2 linked regions of the Daphnia pulex genome follow. The protein of the gene in region 1 purifies or fractionates together with the protein of each later gene. This does not show direct contact. Links are inferred from orthologs where the notes say so. Each region holds a gene or a part of one and is shown on either strand. Other genes may lie near its edges. The genes, in order: protein BCCIP homolog and eukaryotic translation initiation factor 6-like.

Region 1 (3,417 bases):
AAATTACCTTTCGTGTTGGCTACATCCGTGCGAGATTTCATGTTGGGATCATGAAACAGTTTCCATCCTTCCAAAATTGCAGCCCGAAATGGTTGACCTGCTCGGAAACAGAGCTGCTGGGCTTCATCCAGCTGTCCACAACGGAGTCGAGCAAATACAGAACGAAGCAAACGCATTTCATCTTCTTTGTCAAGTGGGTGAAGACGTCTGTTTTGTTCTCGGTTAGGAGCATCGGGATCCATTTGAGTAACCATATTTTGCTCGACGTTATCTGTACTAAGCCCTCGTTTTTTACTGACCAAAGAATGAAGAGTATTTTCCCAGCCGGCAACCGCATCTCCGTAAAACTCCACCTAATTAGAGTATAATATATTATTTAATAAAAGAAAATTTTAATTACATTAAAAAATACCTGGCTGTAATGGGAATCGTGATAGACATCAGCCGCTCGTTGTTCCAGCCAATCGACTACGAGCTGAGCCTGTCTGATTATGGCATTTTTGTCATAGAGTTGTTTTACCAAGTCATCTTCACTTGTAACATCATCCAATCCACTCCAGATTTCATCAGACTCCATTTCACTGTCATGAAATTCAGAGTTTAAACGATCTTGGTAGAGAGATGCAACCAATCTCCATGTGTCACGCTCAAGTCTCAGTTCTTGCTCCAATTCTTGTGCTTGTGATAGTTTGTTGTGTCCACGAGGGGCCATTTGAATCAATTTTCGCAAAGCAGATACTTGTTCTCCACATTCTGACTCATATTCTGCACACTGATTAAACACTTGATGTTCTGCCCCATATGACTGAAATGTTTTGAGGAATCTCTCAAATAGTTCTAAGACATTTTCTACTCCTGGAACTTCTTCTTCTAGAAGGATGCTCATGAGTTCTTCATTTCGTTTCTTTCGTGATACATTGCTCACTGTTAAGTCTGCTCTTGTCGAATCCAGATTTTTCCTTTGTAAACCAGCACCAATTCTCGTAAATGTAGGATCACTTTCGAAAATAGTGTGGCTAAGATCATCAGACATAAAAGACATTGTATTATGTCGGTTAGGAGAAGGGAGGCAACTGGCCCCCAACATGTCTGATGTCTTTTCGAGTGAGTGCTTTATTCTTCGACCAGGAAGATTTAGTTTGCCAGTAACAGTTGAGTTAGAACCGGCAATAATTGGAGATTGAAACTCCATTGTGCTTATTTTAAAAAGATACAATAAAATTCACTGTCTTATAAAGAAGAAGTTTGAAGGTTTGAAGTTTTCCGTTTTTCGTTTTATTGTAACGTAGCAGACTAAGTAAAAGGGCGTTGCAATTCACGTTCAAAGTTTTATTCATTAAAATAATTATAATTAATTGAAATTGAAATAGTAATGATTTGATTTTTATAATTGTTATAATATTTAATACAATTTTATTCTATTTTTTAACTCAATTTTTAAGATTTTATTTCAAACAATTTGAATGTTCACTTCACTTCCTTCCTACCCCTTCCTAGCAGACAAACTTAAGTTTGTTTTTGACTTTTTGACACGTGTGAAAAATTGTCTTTAAAAATCATGGCGAATTTCAATACTAAACGGCCTATGGAAGAAGATAGCAGCGATTCTTCAGAGGAAGAAGAAGAAGAAAATGATTCTCAAGATGAAGAAATGGGTGAAGATGAGCAACTTGGAGAGAACGACCGAGAGATTCAAGTCGACTTTGAAGGTCAATCACCAATCGCTGAAGATTTTCACGGTATCAAGAGTCTAATGCATCAGCTTTTCCTAAAGGCTCATATTAATTTAAGTGGTCTGACGGAACTCATCATTCAGCAAAACTACATTGGAAGTATATTACAGGTAATAAAATCTTGTGAAGATGTAATTTGTGTACTTTACTAAAGATATCTACTTCTTCAGCAATGTGTGGATAATGATGAACCTGATAGTGATGATGAAGGAAATTCTCTTGATGAAGTTTTTGGAATTACTTCTGTAATTAACTTGACACATCACAAGGTGAGATAAAATTTTGAATTTGTGTTACACAAATTACAATTAACCCAATTTTTTTTGTTATTTACTTTTCCTAGGATGTGGAATGTATTAAAGAAGTAAAAAAGTACCTGTTGGAAAAAACACAGAAGAAACTGAGTGGATTGTTTGATGATCCATCTAACCAGATAGGACTTATATTCAATGAAAGGTTCATAAACATACCACCTCAAGTTTCTGTTCCCCTACTGGAAAATCTATGGTATACAAGACTTAATTTGAATTATATCCCAAGTTTAAATGTAAAATTTTGTTAATAGTAAGGAGATTGATGAAGCAAAAAAATCTGGAAAGCCTTTTGACTTTACACACTTCATTTTAATTTCCAAACTTCATGAATCTACAAGAAAAGATCCTGAATCAAGGAAAAAAAAAGTCAAAGGAGGAGCCACCATATTATGGGTTAATGCAGAAGAAGAACCAATTTCAGAGGTATTCATCTATTAATTCCACGCCTAAGTAGAGTAGGTTGTAATAAAATTTCGTCAAATAGATGGGTGAAATATTAGGAGAATATTCTGTACGAAGCGAGTCAGATGCAGCAGTTTCCGGGACATGGGACGAAGATGACGAACAATTCGATCCGAAAAGAAGGATAGTCCTTATTACCGCAAAGCAGCTGCCTGAGGTGTTGATTAAAATTAAAGAATTCCTCGAATGAATAAAATTCATGTTTTCTGTTTGTTTTAGTTATTATTACCAATAACTTAAAAAATCTATTAATTGCATTTATTATTCCTTTCAACTACATCGGTATACACAATCTATTTGGGATCATGGGGTAATTTGAATCCAACCATGTCAGCCGTGCTACGCACTGTGCGTTCACCTGAAAGAGAAAAAAGGATTGATATTTTGTATACAACTTCGTTTTGAATAACTGTGTCAAACCTTGGCCGTGAAATTCTTGTATCAGCGATGCAGCCTTTCTTGAACTTTTCAAATAGCAAAGGTACGTATCAGCCATGTATTTACTTTCTTGTTGGGCTTTGCATGTTTGCTCAGCAGTGACCTGATTTCGGCGAAAATTCTTTGAGATAAATTGATATGCTGGCGATTCCCAGAGAGAATTATGACTATGGTTGGTTAGTCGGAGCTCGCGAATCAATTCTCTGAGCAAAGTTTTGGCGCTCATTTTTCACTAATTAGCTCAGTCTCAGCAGCAGGGTATGTAGGTTCAGGCGATTCCCAAAACGATGAATGAACACTGTAGATTAGTTCGCTGGGGAAATGGTGGAGACTAAGATCGTTGAAAATGTCGGGAAACCGGAAGTTGTTGGGCACAGCTAGTTCCTCGACGATTTCTATAGATCGATGAAGATAATGATAGCTCTTCAAGAAACGATCGGGAGTGTCGAGTCGAATTTTTTCGAAACTGT
Region 2 (3,358 bases), on another chromosome or scaffold:
CGATAGCAGCTTGGCACATGGTGTAGAACTGTTAGCCACACAGTTAGAATGCCATATTCTAATTGCAAAAGTTATGAATAGTCCAGCGTGGATTGATTCTTCGAGTTTAAACGTACAAGACGGTGATGTAGTGAAAAATCTAATTGACCAGTTACAGAGACGAAGTCTTAGGTAATTAGATTTAATGTTACATTAATTGAAGGAGTAAACAAAATTTACTCATTTTCTCATTTTAGACTCCAGTACATGTTCAGTAATTTATCCACTGAAGAAATGCTACTCATTCAGAGCACACGTCTACAAGCTATGGCGATTCAGCTGGTATACATTGTAAGAGCTAGTAACACATCCGCGTTGGCTTTATCAGACCATTTCGTTTCCCGTGTCGAAGCATTGAAAGGGTAATTTCTTTTTCGTTTAACTTCGATTAAAAAAAATAAGATTTAATTAATCAAGTTGTTGTAGATATGGAAATTTACCTTCTTTTGCTGGAGCGATTGTGAAGGAAATTGCACGAGTAGATGATACTAAACCAGGTGTATTGTCGCGAATATTGCTTCCAATCCTTCAAGCTCATATTTATGTTGCCCCATTCTGCCTGCCTGCCAAGGTAATTTATTTAAATATATTTATGAAATATCAATGTACCTTACTTGGTAATATTTTCAATTTATTATTGCTTGTTAGGCTTTTAAATTGAGCGCTGACATTTTAGAACCGTCTGGTGAATCGGATAATCCGCAGAAGTTCCTGGCAGGCTTCGTATTGGGAGTGGTTTTAGACGCCGAAATTCAAGGACTTGCTCATTCAGAGTATTTGCGAGTCCGTGTGAAATATCCCGATCTTAATGCTCAGCTAATTATACCACAAGAGTCGCATCTGAAGATGATCAAACACTATCCTAAAAATGATTCGAGTGAGAATATTATTTCCGTTCCTGATCACCGTTTGCGAACATCTGTTTTGGTATCACATCAAGTGTGGACAGAATCATCGCATATTGAACTTTCTTTGGTTTTGGATGTTACTGATCCCGAGGTTCCTTCTGCTTTAAAAAGATGGCGAGGTTTCTCAGAAGACTCATTTATTATTGAACTATGTAAACCTGTACGAGTTCTTGTATCTCCTAAGCCAATCAAGCGAGGAATATGAATTTTAAATGTGAGATTGTTGGAACCATGAACGAAATTGTACGGAAAATACATATTACTACAATTAACTACTGAATTTGGTTTGTTCCTTCTATTCTCAAAATTGTCAGTGTCAATTCTTTCACCCTTTATTTAATTTTTAGGTATAGTACAAAATCAAGTAAGAATCGACAATCGAGCTTTGTGATTTTCAAAATGTTGTGCTTTTTTTTAAAAAAAATCCCCTACCGACAAAAACGTTTATATCGATAGTTACACAGTTCGTACATGTATCGATATTTAAGATCCGTCTCTCTTGCTTCTCGTACCCGCTCGTCCCACGTGTGAAACTAAGTGTTCGTCTATTACTTCTCTCACGCACATCGCTACTACTTTATCGTTTAGTTTGACGAAATACTTTCATCATGGCAGTTCGCGTTCAATTTGAAAATAACAATGAAGTCGGTGTTTTTGCAAAACTGACCAACGCTTATTGCTTGGTTGCCATCGGTGGATCAGAAAATTTCTACAGGTAAAATATACGTGTCATGCGTCTTTTTCTAAAAAATCTTCAATAGGATTTCTCGTGATTTATCATGCTGCATTTGATTCATGTTACAGTGTTTTCGAATCAGAGTTGTCTGACACTATTCCAGTAATTCACACATCAGTTGCTGGCTGCAGGATAATTGGACGGTTGACAGTTGGTGAGTTTTCCCTTCATACAAAAGTTGACAGTGGGTCTCTTGAAGATATTGAAAAATAAATTATGTTATTTTCGTAAATATTACTTTTCAACAGCTAACAGGCATGGTCTACTGCTGCCAAACAGTACTACAGATCAGGAATTGCAACATATTCGCAACTCTTTACCAGATTCTGTCAAAATCCAGCGTGTTGAAGAACGTCTGTCTGCTTTAGGAAATGTTAGTCAATCCCATTAGCCAATCAATTAATGAAGATTACTAATTCATCATTTGTGCATTTCACAGGTTATTGCATGCAATGATTATGTTGCATTGGTACATCCAGATTTAGATAAAGAAACAGAGGAAGTTCTTGCAGATACCTTAAATGTTGAAGTCTTCCGTCATACAATTGCTGGCTCTGTCCTTACTGGTTCATATTGCGCTTTTTCTAACCAGGGTGGTATTGTCCATCCAAAAACAACTGTGGCAGATCAAGATGAACTCAGCTCTCTTCTGCAGGTGCCTCTAGTGGTAAGCATTAGAACATGTAAAGAAGACAAAGTTCACATATAAACAATAAGGTGTTTTTCATTTTACAGGCAGGGACAGTTAACAGAGGTAGTGATGTAATTGGTGCCGGCTTAGTAGTGAATGATTGGTCGGCTTTTTGCGGATTCGACACCACAGCCACGGAGATTTCCGTTATTGAAAATGTTTTCCGTTTGAATGAAGCAAATCAACCCAGCGTCATTACCACAGACATGAGAGAGTCGCTAATTGAGACGTAAGACTAATTCTATATAATGTTTTTTATTGGAACAGTTGAATTAATTTTTTCAATTTTGATAGGCTGACATAATTCGGAAAAATTGCAAAAGGGATACCCAAAAATTATGTATCAGAACGGTTGAATAAACAAGTTTTGGAAAATGTCATTTTTATATTTACTGAAAATACCCACAAGTTCTTTTTTACTGTGCTGATGATGTAGCTACAGAAATAAGTTGATGTAGACTACAGAAATAAAAGTTGCATATTATTTGAAAATCTGTTGTAACTAGAAATATAACTGGTAAATTAATACAGGCTTTAAGTAGTTCCTAGTTTAAACAAATGAACTTTGCGTAATTGCTCGATATTGTTTATTTATAAGTACAATAATCCTAACCTTGATACAGGGTTAGAATGGAGCATTACCAAGATTGCTTAATTTGAAAATCAAATTCTAAGAATAACTTAAGCTTAAAAAAATACCAGAGTGAAATTATAATAGAACTTAAGTTTAGTGATGTACCGATTCGACGTGTAAAGAATCGGCTAGAGCGATAGCAGCACTGGTCATTGACTGACGGAAATCAGCGACCTTCGTTGCCATCGATTCAGCAAGGTCAAGCCAGGGAGGAGTATAGAGGAGAAAGCAGTTGCTATCTCTCAACAGGGAAAAACCCAAGCTTGACCTCCATGCGAGGTCGACCTGAAATACCACGGCGCCCCCCCCCCCCCCCCCCCCAACTGGCAGATGAGAAAGGCATTAAATAA

The links.
Region 2: the proteins of protein BCCIP homolog (region 1) and eukaryotic translation initiation factor 6-like purify together in Homo sapiens (affinity purification with mass spectrometry; 3 studies listed by BioGRID and IntAct, counting the BioPlex papers as one, with this or other methods). This does not show direct contact. The link is inferred for Daphnia pulex from reciprocal best matches to the Homo sapiens genes BCCIP and EIF6.

The regions. Positions count from the first base shown.
Region 1 is NC_060019.1:10,135,464-10,138,880, forward strand, and holds protein BCCIP homolog, read left to right. Parts: upstream 1-1,392; 5' UTR 1,393-1,558; coding exon 1,559-1,843; intron 1,844-1,903; coding exon 1,904-2,002; intron 2,003-2,076; coding exon 2,077-2,240; intron 2,241-2,298; coding exon 2,299-2,470; intron 2,471-2,531; coding exon 2,532-2,699; 3' UTR 2,700-2,720; downstream 2,721-3,417. Other genes in the region: nuclear pore complex protein Nup107-like, read right to left, coding at 8-353, 413-1,192; SRR1-like protein, read right to left, coding at 3,170-3,417. UniProt on the Homo sapiens protein: During interphase, required for microtubule organizing and anchoring activities. During mitosis, required for the organization and stabilization of the spindle pole.
Region 2 is NC_060025.1:5,263,558-5,266,915, reverse strand, and holds eukaryotic translation initiation factor 6-like, read left to right. Parts: upstream 1-1,437; 5' UTR 1,438-1,555; coding exon 1,556-1,662; intron 1,663-1,751; coding exon 1,752-1,837; intron 1,838-1,931; coding exon 1,932-2,056; intron 2,057-2,122; coding exon 2,123-2,350; intron 2,351-2,418; coding exon 2,419-2,603; intron 2,604-2,668; coding exon 2,669-2,678; 3' UTR 2,679-2,749; downstream 2,750-3,358. Other genes in the region: integrator complex subunit 4-like, read left to right, coding at 1-171, 237-401, 466-610, 688-1,152. UniProt on the Homo sapiens protein: Binds to the 60S ribosomal subunit and prevents its association with the 40S ribosomal subunit to form the 80S initiation complex in the cytoplasm. Behaves as a stimulatory translation initiation factor downstream insulin/growth factors.